Saccharomyces cerevisiae S288C: one gene and its partners. The gene in region 3 interacts genetically with the main gene of each other region. Each region holds a gene or a part of one and is shown on either strand. Other genes may lie near its edges.

Region 1 (5,424 bases), on a different chromosome or scaffold from region 3:
CATCCACCAAATGCTTAGGTGACTCCATTGTAAATTTGTTGCTCATCTAGAGGTAATGACAATAGTTCAATGCTCGAAAGTGAAGAAATATTTCTTTTTTTTTTTATATAAGCCTTCTGCGCAGTCGTTTTTTTTTCAGTCGCTGTCTCACGGGGGAAAATAGTTTGAAAAAGGCGAAGAGGGGGAAAACTGTGATGTGAATACGACTTCTAAGACAGTAAATATGGACGTATGCTTATAGCTTGGAGAGTTAGTTAATATAGAGAAATATAAATAGTAGATAAGAAGTACATATGAAACAAAAAAAAAATGGCAATAAAATAACAAAAGGATCTCGAGTAGGAACATACTTCAAAGAAAGGAAAACTCATGGTTTATATATTATCCAGAATTTTTAACGTAATCGGAGATGCGACAGATATTTCAGGGTGTATGGATGAGGTCAAAACAATACTAATCACACACGCCGCGAAGCCTTCGACGGTTCGTAACCTGTCCTCATGTGTGACGCATAGGATTCTACGGTAGATCCCGAGTATGCCCGGCTGTGATTGGTAACTATGATTGCGAGTAATAAGCGATCCGGCGTCCGGTGGTATTTTCTATTTTGTTGGTGCGACCGCTTCTTCGCAGAGAATGGGTGACTTGTAAAAGGAGAGAGACACTGGAAAAACCAACAGAATACGAGCAGGAAACTAGAAAATAAAAAACTAAAAAAAAAAAAAAACAAAAAGGAAAGGAAAAATTAGTAGAAGCCGGCGACGATTGCAGAATCCAGAGGGATACCGCTGTAACAGAGAATACGGGCACCCAGACAAGTGACTGGCGCCAGACTTTGTTATTTCACCTGGACCCGAATAATAATATTAAATAGTGATAATAATAATAACATATAGCATAAATAATAATGTACAAAATAATAATAATAAATAAATAAATGGTTCACCATGGACTGTACAGGCGTTCCGGAACGCACATAGTGACAGTACAAGACCTGGTTGTGTGCCATAATGGCCGGCATGTGAAATCGCGGCTTCTGTATATGTACATATCTGTTCTTTTACCATGTCGTCCATTTTCCGTTCACTTTAGCCAACACGGCGACGTTGTGCGGAATTGATTTGAAGTCGATTTTTTCTATGGAGTATTCCCAAACTGCCCCCAAATTTTGCAAATTAGTGCGCGGGGTGAATGGGTGCGTCAGAGCATTTACTGACACCTGGCGGCATAAGCAGCGACGTATCGTGTCCAAGGCAGGCCATAGCAAGAGCGTTTGTGATTGATTTTCAAGGCGCAGATACCATTGGAACACAGTAGCGCAGAAGGTACTCCTCAAAAGAGACAGAGAGAGAAATCAGAGTCAGGGAGCTTAGTAGCTGCTGTTACCAATATTATACAATAAGTAAGGTTTGCATATGCGGAAACTTCGCACTTGAATTTTTTTTTTTTTCTTTTTTGGTAGCTTTTTGATGTTTCCAGAGGATGTGAGTCAATGAGTGGTGTGACCCCAATACCACATTTTGTTGCTGTTTTTTTTTTTTCATTGTTAATTATCACTATTTTTTTTTCTTTCTAGTATAACCCATTCGAACCTCCGTGGAGGCATTAAAAGGGAGAGTGAAAAAAAAAAAAAGAAAAGAAAAAGAAAAGATGCCGCCACATATAGAGACCTTAAAGGGATTGAAAAACTGTACGTAAATCATTGAAGGTTCTACACGTCATCCATGAAGAAAAGCATTTTCGGGAGAACGCCAAACTTCAGACATGGGTGTGCATTCATTTTGGGATATTGCAGGTCCTACGGCAAGACCGGTCAGGCTGGAATCCTTGGAAGATAAGAGAATGGCAGTAGATGCCTCCATTTGGATATATCAGTTTTTGAAAGCTGTCCGTGATCAGGAGGGGAATGCAGTGAAGAATTCTCATATTACTGGGTTCTTTAGAAGAATTTGTAAGCTATTATACTTTGGCATTAGGCCGGTATTCGTCTTTGATGGTGGTGTGCCCGTATTGAAAAGGGAAACAATACGGCAGAGGAAAGAAAGAAGACAGGGAAAACGAGAGAGTGCGAAATCCACCGCTAGGAAGCTGCTGGCTTTACAATTGCAAAACGGCTCAAACGATAACGTAAAAAACTCTACACCGAGTAGTGGCAGTAGTGTGCAGATCTTCAAACCTCAGGACGAGTGGGACTTGCCCGATATACCGGGATTCAAATACGATAAGGAAGATGCAAGAGTTAACTCTAATAAAACTTTTGAAAAACTGATGAATTCGATAAACGGTGATGGACTGGAAGACATTGATTTAGACACTATAAATCCAGCATCGGCCGAATTTGAAGAGCTGCCAAAGGCCACACAGTATTTGATATTATCGTCGTTGAGGTTGAAATCAAGACTGAGGATGGGATACTCGAAAGAACAATTGGAGACCATCTTCCCAAATAGTATGGATTTCTCAAGATTTCAAATAGACATGGTGAAAAGGAGGAATTTTTTTACTCAAAAGTTAATCAACACTACTGGGTTTCAGGATGGTGGAGCGTCTAAGCTGAACGAGGAGGTGATCAATAGGATATCCGGCCAAAAGAGTAAAGAGTACAAGTTGACTAAGACTAATAACGGGTGGATTCTTGGACTAGGGGCAAACGATGGCTCTGATGCGCAAAAAGCAATCGTAATAGACGATAAAGATGCAGGCGCTTTGGTAAAGCAGTTAGATAGTAATGCTGAGGACGGGGACGTGCTCCGATGGGATGATTTGGAAGATAATTCCTTAAAAATAGTGCGACATGAGTCTTCTAACGCGACGACAGCTCCACAGAAAAGGAGTAACCGGTCAGAAGATGAGGGATGTGACTCTGATGAATGTGAGTGGGAAGAAGTTGAACTCAAGCCCAAGAACGTCAAGTTTGTGGAAGATTTTTCTTTGAAAGCTGCAAGGTTGCCTTACATGGGCCAATCCCTAAACAACGCTGGCAGTAAATCGTTTTTGGACAAAAGACATGATCAGGCATCGCCCTCCAAGACTACTCCAACAATGAGAATTAGCAGAATCAGCGTGGAAGACGACGATGAGGATTACCTGAAACAAATTGAGGAAATTGAAATGATGGAGGCAGTGCAACTTTCTAAGATGGAAAAGAAACCTGAAGCGGACGACAAATCAAAAATCGCTAAGCCGGTAACGTCAAAAGGTACAGAGGCTCGTCCACCAATAGTACAGTATGGATTACTTGGCGCACAACCGGATAGTAAGCAACCGTATCATGTCACAAATTTGAATAGCAAATCAGAGTCGGTCATCAAAAGGACCAGCAAGACAGTTCTTTCTGAGTTTAGGCCACCGTCTCAGCAGGAGGATAAAGGGGCTATTTTAACAGAGGGGGAGCAAAACCTGAATTTTATTTCTCACAAGATACCACAGTTTGATTTTAACAATGAAAATTCCCTGCTTTTTCAAAAGAATACCGAGAGTAATGTGTCCCAAGAAGCCACGAAGGAAAAGTCTCCAATTCCTGAAATGCCGAGCTGGTTTTCTTCAACTGCTTCCCAGCAGTTGTATAATCCCTATAACACAACAAATTTCGTGGAAGATAAAAACGTAAGAAATGAACAAGAAAGTGGAGCAGAAACTACCAATAAAGGGAGTAGCTATGAACTCTTGACAGGCTTAAATGCTACGGAAATATTAGAAAGAGAAAGCGAGAAAGAGAGCTCCAATGATGAAAACAAGGACGATGACTTAGAAGTTTTATCAGAAGAACTATTTGAGGACGTTCCCACTAAATCTCAGATTTCAAAAGAAGCAGAGGATAACGATAGTAGAAAAGTCGAATCTATAAATAAGGAGCATAGAAAGCCTCTTATATTCGACTATGACTTCTCCGAAGATGAAGAAGATAACATAGTAGAAAATATGATAAAGGAACAAGAAGAGTTTGATACATTTAAAAACACGACTTTGTCCACTTCTGCTGAAAGAAACGTTGCCGAGAACGCTTTTGTGGAGGATGAATTATTCGAACAACAGATGAAGGATAAAAGAGATTCGGATGAGGTAACTATGGATATGATCAAAGAAGTGCAAGAATTACTATCGAGGTTTGGAATCCCCTATATCACTGCGCCTATGGAAGCTGAAGCACAGTGTGCGGAATTGTTACAACTAAACCTTGTCGATGGTATAATTACCGATGACAGTGATGTTTTCCTATTTGGAGGTACAAAGATCTACAAAAATATGTTCCACGAAAAGAACTATGTTGAATTTTATGATGCGGAATCTATTTTAAAATTATTGGGCTTGGATAGAAAGAATATGATTGAGTTGGCACAGCTTTTAGGGAGCGATTACACGAATGGATTGAAGGGTATGGGTCCCGTTTCAAGCATTGAAGTGATTGCAGAATTTGGAAACCTAAAAAATTTTAAAGACTGGTATAATAATGGGCAGTTTGATAAACGTAAGCAAGAAACGGAAAATAAATTTGAAAAAGACCTGAGAAAAAAACTGGTAAATAACGAAATTATCTTAGATGATGATTTTCCTAGCGTCATGGTTTATGATGCGTATATGAGACCAGAAGTCGATCACGATACCACGCCGTTTGTTTGGGGGGTACCAGATCTCGATATGCTTCGTTCATTCATGAAGACTCAACTAGGTTGGCCACACGAAAAGTCTGATGAAATTCTCATTCCCTTAATTAGAGATGTTAATAAACGCAAAAAGAAGGGGAAGCAAAAAAGGATTAATGAATTTTTTCCAAGGGAGTACATATCTGGTGATAAGAAGCTCAATACAAGTAAGAGAATTTCAACCGCAACAGGTAAACTAAAGAAAAGAAAGATGTAATAACATATACTTATGTATGATTTACTATTTATAAACATTACCTTTGTTTCTGCATGTTAACAAAGTCAACCGATCCAGGAATAGTAGATATATACGGTCCTTTTGGTATCTTTGCGTCGGTGAGGTATGACACTTTTGGCACCCACCCAAACACGCGCAACGTTATTTTTCGCCATCTTGAAGATCTCAGAATAGCAATTAGAGAATAAGACACATTCTGTCATTTTTGCATATTTCCGGGAAGATCACTCCTCTGGAATTGGGGCACACTACCCTCATATTTGTGCCAGTTCACTTCACAGGAATCGTATGAGCCAAAGCCATAAAGTATCGTAGGAAAGGAAACGAGGTGTTGATAATACGATATGAGTGATCGCAATACAAGTAACAGCCTGACCTTAAAAGAACGAATGTTAAGTGCCGGTGCTGGATCAGTACTCACTTCTTTGATTTTGACACCGATGGATGTAGTGAGAATACGGCTGCAACAGCAGCAGATGATTCCTGACTGTTCATGTGATGGGGCTGCCGAAGTGCCCAACGCCGTTAGCTCAGGCTCCAAAA
Region 2 (4,762 bases), on a different chromosome or scaffold from region 3:
ACTGCAAGTCGAAAAGGATATCGCTTTAGCCAAACAAAAATTTGTTGTGCTATTCAGTGAGCATGCATTGGCTATAGAGGCCGCACCTAAATTGTATCTTTTGATTTATGTAACTGCCACACTTTCTCTAGCACAGTCATGATACGGCTTTTTTTCATTTAGCCACCAAATACTGTAAATATCGTTTTAGAACGTTATGAAAAAATGCTCATCCACTTAAAAACCTCTCCGTATTCTGAAAGTTGGTATAATCTTGCACTTTAAGTGTATATCTTTTTATGCAATCTTTTTGAATAATGAGTGTTTTTCAAAATTTTGACATTCATGTGAATTGTTTATCTATCCTTTGCATAGTAAAAAAATAGATGCAGAATTTACTCACCTCAAGGAGGGGCAAAGTAATAAGAAAAGTTACCATAGGCTAGTTGAATGTCCAAGATCGTAAAGAATGAAGAAAAAAGGAGTAAAAAGTATGAATAAGATAAATGAAAATATAAAAATAAAAACCAACTAATACATGAAGAAAAAAAAGCAGACAAAAACATTTTATGGACCTGATGCAATCTAGTAGTCCATAGAATAATCACCACTAGAAAATTCTTCCTCTTCATTACTACCGTTTGCCATTATAGGAATATGATTTGCTGCAGGATTCTGCGGAGGTATTATATAGGGCACTGGCGGCACCTGTGGAATAAACCCAAATGATGGGAACATTGGCATCATCCAGTTAGCGTTATTTTGGTTTGCACTTATTAAGTTGTAACTGTTCACGGGCTTTGTGTTGGTATTAGGGTACTGCAGTGGTATGAAATAATTTTCCCTCGAGACTTGCTGTTGCGATTGGTTCTGAGTCATCAAGGCATTGATAAATTTCTTATTATACTTTGTTGGATAAGCCTTATGATAATCATTATGTGGCTGAAAATTTTGGAACTTTGATGAGTTATCAGTTTGGGATTGATCATCATCATCACTTGAAGATAAATTACCACGTTTCTGAGCGAAAGAAACAGATAACACTTGATCTTTGCTCACTTGATACCCGTCTGTATTCAAAATTGCCTTAGCAGCATCTAATGGGCTTTCAAAAGAAACAAAACCATAACCTCTTGATGATCCCACTGGCAGATCATTATCTGATGAGCTATCATTCGATTGTTGACGATACTTGTTCTTACTACCCCCAACAGTAATGACCTTAACGCTGATTATTTCACCGAAAGATTTGTAGAAATCATATAAATCTTCATCTGTCCAAGAAAGAGGGATGTGCTTGACATATAGGTTTGATTCTTGCTGATTACTCATTGGTATAGGTAAGCTGTAAGAAGTTGATGGGTACTGGTACATGTCAAACTTGTTGCCCATGAATCTAGGCACACGTTGACCACGACCTTCACTGAAAGATTCCCTTTGAGGATAGAACAGATCCATTTTCTCTGCCACAGGGGTTGATCTTACAGAATCAAAATACCGTACATTGGAGGTATCGTTGCTGTTCCCGTTTTTATTATTGTTGAAGTAATATCTATCATATGTATAATTATTGTAATCATACATTGGGTTATTTGCAAATTCCAAAACCTCCATATCATTGTGGTTACTGATGGAAGGGTGCCTGTCATGGCTATTGTGGTTGTTGTAAACTTTATGTTGAACCGCCTTATTAACAACGAGCCTGTTTCCATGCCACATGAACCCATTGAAGGTCTCGATGGCTGCTAGTGCTTGTTCATGGTTGATAAGCTTGATGAAACCATAACCCTTCAACATATCTTCATCTTGGGCATTTCCATTAGTATTATTGGAAGATTTGTTTGATTCTACTGACCCCTCCTCATTGAAACTTACTGAACTACTGCTTCTTGTATTACTTCTCTTCGGAAAGTAATATGAAATGATATCAAAGTCCGGAAACTTTTTTGATAACTCCTTCTTGATTACTTCTATGACTTCTTTAGGTGTAATCAAAGTCTCTACTTTTTCAGGATTGTGATAAGGCAAGTTGCCTATAAAGAGACACCTGAAATTATCATCATTGTTGTTTTCTTTGACATGGTCCCAATGGATTCTTTCTCTCTCCTTTCGCTCAACGTGATAGTTGATAAATAGTGTGGAGCCATTTACCGTCCTTCCATTAAGTTCCTTGATGCAAAGTGAAGCTTGAGAACCCAAGGGGTAGGAGATGAACCCGTATCCGTTAGGTTCGCCTTTCGTTTTATCATATATCAATTTCATTGATAAAATTGGTCCATATTTTGAAAATAAGAAACTTAGTTCACCAATAGAAAGGCTCTTTGCTATTCCCCCGACAAAAATATTTCCAGGATAGGTTAGTGCATGCTTGTTCACACCGATAGACCATTTATCAATATGCTGACCAATAGGTTCGCTCTTGAGTAATTCCGAGATATCTGTACATGCATTTTCTAATGACTTGGGGTACTTGAATTGTGCTTGCAAAACGGTATCGTATCTCCAATCATCTTCCTCTTCGTTATCTTTGTAAGATTTCTCATACTCTTGACTTCCATGCTCGTAAAGATAGATGTCTTTATTTTGTTCGAGAACCTGTAACCTCCTTGTATCCGGAAGAAATTCATATGTTTCTGTATCAGAGTTGTTAACGGAGATACCTTTGTAGTGCTGTATTGTGTCCATTATTTGATCGGTTATTCTAGAGTTGCAGTGATCATCTTCTTCTTCTTGTAACTGCCATTTTATTCTTATGGTTAATAAATTTGTGTTGGCCAATTGTTCCAGTTGAAGACCAGTGGAAGTTTTCCTTTCAATTTTTATTGATTGGTCTCCAGCTTCTGCGCTCGCTGATGTCTGCTGGCTGCAGATATCTGTATCCTCGGGGCCACTAGATATTACTTCATCTGATGGTTCTTCTGCAATATTCATCCTCGAAACTTCTGATGCGGTTTGTCTTTCACGTATAATGTTTTTAGTAAAATAAAACTTATGGTTTATTTTTGGATTTTTAATCAGGGTGCCTTGTAATTTGGGATGTGTGCTATGCTTTACTTGTTCACACTTTTTTTGAGACCGTTGAACGAACTAAAATTAAGAACACTCTAATCCTTCGAACAAAAGGCACTTTTCAACTATTATTTACTTATTCAATATTTAAGGGAAGTTTCTTTATTGTGCTTGACATATATATATGTATTTATTTATATAGCGCAGTGGCCAAGAAAATGTTAACGTGAAATAACGACTAACGGGCAGGCGTTATGCACGGAAAGAGATCTACTAAATTCCGCCCAATAGGGAATCTCCGACTGAATTTTTTTGCCCTTTGGTCAACTATTCCCGGGAAGGGCATAAATTGAATCAAGCGCCAATTTTACGTCTTCGGCTAGTAATCGGATCAGCGGGAGAAACATCGTACGTACACAAGAGAATACCGAGAGTGTCGATTAATCAACCACGCTCCATGAGGCTTATCCGCATTCTACTTGCATGTTAGCCGGGAAAAGACATAAATCATCTCAATTCTCTAGAATACTCTAGAGATTATGTAAAAGCGTAGCCCCGTAGATGATTAAATAATTTTCGGTTTCTTACCCCGTAACCACGAGTTGCGGTGTTTTTGCTTCTATCGGGGCAATAAGCGGGCGCTGCTTCTCGGGAATGTAAAAACTGTGCTTCCTACCATGAAGTAGTTGGATCTTGAAATGGGTTGGGCCGGAACAATATGCAAGTACTACAATCCTTGTATTCCCATATGATTATATTCCCCTTTGCATAGGCTAGTGTTTTTTTTTTCGTTCTTTTGTTTCTTCCGCTAGGAATAGTAGTGGCGATCTGCAGAAAGACGCTCTAAGGAAAAAGAGAGAATTTCGATCAGTCCCGTACACATTACTCTTGGGAAGTTCAATTCCTTCGGACGTAATCCACATACGAACTTGGCTCTCATCTGTTGTCTTCAAGCTGTTGCGGCCCTCCTCTTTCTCTCTGTTGTACACATTTTTTGACTTTCAAAAATATGCCGCTAAGGAAACATAACCCTTGTGTATGTGAGCTTGTAGCATATGATATAGTGCTCATTGGCATGTGACAAGAATTGCGTATGTAATTGAAGTTTGTAGTGTAATTTACGAAAATAGCCGCCCTTCTTCTTCATTAACGATTATTGAGCGTAATGATATAAGATACAACGGTTTATTTAGGGCTGCATCCATGAAAATACTTTGTAATAGTGAGTCGTCGCCTTGTTTGTTTATTCAATACAATGCAGTGTCTCTATAGTCTCCTCCTTTAGTTTCACTATCTTTTCTAACCGCCGAAGATATACGAGTGTTCTGAACGAAAAACGACCTTTTCAAACATAGAATATAATTGTATATATACATATACATATATGATACGCAGCCACATTCGTAGTATCTTTAAGACACTGCCTTTCAAAAAAGCTTTGGTATTTTGAAAGAAGATCGAAGCCAAGGAACCAGGACTACAATGAATTAGACGCTACAAAGTTTCTTAATTGGAAAACAAGGAGGGACAAGGAGGAGACTTTTACAGTAAACCAGAATGCTCCTTCACTGTTCAGTTATGTAATGTTATTGTTTGGAAGATCTGAAGAGAGGCATTTCCTACAACCTCTTGAATAAAATAGTGGAAGGCATTTACACAAAGAAGCCGTGCCACTTTGGTCCGGATTTTTTTTACCTAAAATCGTCTTAAATTGGCCTGTTCGATAGCTGTCATTTGTTTTAGATATTTATTTCCTAACGTCAGCTTTAGTTAC
Region 3 (3,220 bases):
TAAATTCCCCAATTTGCATGTCTTGAAATTCGAATATAATGAAATGGCTCAAGAAACCATTGAAGTATCCTTCTTACCGGCTATGGAAAAGGGAAATTTACCTGAATTGGAAAAGCTAGAAATAAATGGTAACAGATTAGATGAAGATTCTGATGCTTTAGATTTGCTCCAAAGCAAATTTGATGATTTAGAGGTTGACGATTTTGAAGAGGTCGATAGTGAAGATGAGGAAGGCGAGGACGAGGAAGACGAGGACGAGGATGAAAAACTCGAAGAAATTGAAACGGAAAGGCTTGAAAAGGAACTGCTAGAAGTACAAGTAGATGATCTTGCTGAACGTTTAGCTGAAACTGAAATCAAATAGCTATGAATAAAAGTAAAAATAAACACAATCAACTGTGGACGAGGTTCAGGCAAATATCATGGTGACACGCTTATAGATAGTTATCGGGTAAGTTAAAAAACCAAATAGCTGATGTATGTATATGTATGCAAAAGATATAAAATATATATTTCTATTACAGGTACAACAGGTCCAGTAAGAAGCCAAGCAAAAAACAGCATTATCGTCTAGATGCTCCTTTCTTCGCCAGAAAATCTGCCATTTCATTTCCTGGATCACCATCGTGTCCTTTTACCCATTCAATCTGAAATTTACCATTATTTTTGAAGCACTCTTTATTCAACTCATAGTACTTTTTAACTTTAACGAACCTCTGCACCAAAGGAACAATTAAATCAGAATTAGGTAGCCCTTCAAGTTTTTTATTATCATACGTCATATACCTGTCATTTAATAATTTGGTTACGTACTCTGAATCAGTTTTGATTTGATAATTTACTTTTTCCTTTTCATTAGTTAACTTTTCCCAGATTTTCTTCAAAGCTTCTGATACTGCTTCGATTTCAGCTCTATTATTAGTTTGAGCTCCCGATAATAAGGGTTCTGAAATATTTTCCTCTGGCGCTCCTTCAAAATATGCACCATAACCTGCCCTTGAAGATGACGTGCCGTTTCCAAAACTTGAACCATCACAGTAAACGTTCATAGACTTGTTGTACATGGTATTGCTAGAAAGCTTATACTTAGATTCAAAACTTTCTTTGGATATATTCATGAGCTTGTAATCATGCGCACTCATACCACTAATGAAGTTTTCCGCAGCTAATTGGTCTTCAAACTTCTTGAAGGTTATACCCCTTTTATGCTTGACATAGGCTTGACAGTCTTTCCAATTGTTAAAGATTTTACTCTCGATATTTGGAACATTACTCTTTACTGAATAAAAGGTATTTGTATTAGCAGAGCTTAAAGATGAACATGCTGATGACGATGTCAAGGAGGAATAATGAAGTGGCCGATTCCTTCGATGAACTCGCTTTTGAGTGGTATGAGGTTTACTAACTTGCCCTCCAGCATGCGTTGAACTTCCATAGTTTGATGTAGTATTTGGTTGACCTAGGAAAGATTTCGCTTGCTCGTAGCTGTTAAATTTTTTATAAATTGCACCACCATAACCATCAACTTGGTTTTTACATTCATTCCATGTATTATAGATCCCAGTTTCCCTGCCCTTTCTAACCGCGTAGAAGTTCCCTTGCCTTGCCATAATTAGGAATCGATAGTTCCTTCGATAAGCAAGGAGTGACACTTTAACTAATTTAAACAACGTGTATTATTGTGCTGCCATGAAATTAATATAGATCTTTACGACTATTGTACTTGCTTTTATTCATTGTTGATGCTGCTGTCATTTTTACATTTTTTTCTCCAGATAAAAAATAAAAAAAATATGCCATTAATTGATATCATCAGAATTTGACGAAATTCTCAAATCGAATTTGCCATAGTATTTCTTTAACGCCGTGAAGTGAAATTATTTATTACTAATGCTACATTAATTGTTAATTTACCTGTTTCAAGTACAATACAGTAGGTGCAGTGTGCTTTATACATGTCATCAAAGAGGAAAAAAAATCATTAAATTTGTATAAGTGCTACAGCCAAGATCAACCGCTTAAATTGGGAAGAGATTCGTTTTCCAATTTGATTTCTTTTTCGGGTGTTTGCTTTTGTTCCTCTTCATGTTTCACAATTTCATCGGGATTAAACAAGTGCTTAGTTAAGAGTTTATTCATTGAAAACATCGTCATTTTTTTGCCAAAAATTGGTTCCATCTTCTCATCGCATAGAATTTCTCTACGATCTTTTGGGTTTTGAAGATCATGCTCTTTGATATACTGCCATATCATCTTCACTACTTGCGTTCGTGGCAGTTCTTCAGATCCTAGAAACTTTTGTAAAGGAGCTGACAACAGAACTTTGCGGACGGAAATGCTGTTGGAATCAGGACTATCATTCTTTTTCTTCTTCCTTTTAGATTTACTTTCACTTTTACCTTTCCTTTTCCTCGTAGACCTCAAGGGTCTTTCTTCTTCCTTCTGTAACCTCAAAGATAGTTCTTGATCCCGACTAATGAGGTCGTTCTTCGGAATTAAGACTCTTGGGTTTTCTTGTATATCGCCGAACCTCTCAAGAATCAATTCATTAATTAACTTTCTTTGTGAATCCAAATTAACTGAATAGAGAATTTGCAGGGCTTTCCTCACCCTTTTTGGGCTTATTTCATCGGGGTTGGATACGCTCAAAATAGCGTCAACCATCGGAATATATTTATTGATGTCGGCCATAATGCTTTCACCCTCTATTTGCCTTCTATTTGCTCATTTCCTCTTAAACTTTTTCTTAAGGCTTTTCATGAATTAATTAAAATTTTCTTTCTCCTTCGCGCCAGCAAACAAATTATAGGTGACTGACTATAGTTCAACATATATACTGCTCCAGCGCAGTAGTACTACTTTAATAAAAAAGAAAACAAAACATTCTAAAAACTATAAGCTAAATATACTCTTTTGTTAAAGTTCGAAAAGTTTTCTGACAACACGGCTTCCACTAGGGTCTCCAGGGAAAGGCCAATCTTTTCTTACCATGCGTTTTGTCATATATCGTGATTTAGAATAACACTGCAAAATATCAAGATTTTTAATTTGGCCGGTAGCTATAGAGTCATTAAGAGACATATTTTCAAGATCTTTTTGCAGGTATTTTTTTCCACCAGCAATGATTTCCAAATATTTTAAGAAGACTTTGATATAGTTCAACAAGATACATTCGATAGTATCGTGGATCAAAGTAATAAAGACCGGTAATTCCCTTTTC

The links.
Region 1: of RNH1 (region 3) and RAD2, changing one suppresses a phenotype caused by changing the other (phenotypic suppression), as found in Saccharomyces cerevisiae (one study listed by BioGRID).
Region 2: of RNH1 (region 3) and RIE1, changing one suppresses a phenotype caused by changing the other (phenotypic suppression), as found in Saccharomyces cerevisiae (one study listed by BioGRID).

The regions. Positions count from the first base shown.
Region 1 is NC_001139.9:1,007,107-1,012,530, reverse strand, and holds RAD2 (ssDNA endodeoxyribonuclease RAD2), read left to right. Parts: upstream 1-1,764; coding exon 1,765-4,860; downstream 4,861-5,424. Other genes in the region: TNA1 (Tna1p), read right to left, coding at 1-46; MTM1 (Mtm1p), read left to right, coding at 5,226-5,424. UniProt on the Saccharomyces cerevisiae protein: Single-stranded DNA endonuclease involved in excision repair of DNA damaged with UV light, bulky adducts, or cross-linking agents. Essential for the incision step of excision-repair.
Region 2 is NC_001139.9:990,612-995,373, forward strand, and holds RIE1 (Rie1p), read right to left. Parts: upstream 2,911-4,762; coding exon 565-2,910; downstream 1-564.
Region 3 is NC_001145.3:738,656-741,875, reverse strand, and holds RNH1 (RNA-DNA hybrid ribonuclease), read right to left. Parts: upstream 1,611-3,220; coding exon 564-1,610; downstream 1-563. Other genes in the region: GTPase-activating protein RNA1, read left to right, coding at 1-364; TRI1 (Tri1p), read right to left, coding at 2,011-2,691; FUS2 (Fus2p), read right to left, coding at 2,917-3,220. UniProt on the Saccharomyces cerevisiae protein: Endonuclease that specifically degrades the RNA of RNA-DNA hybrids.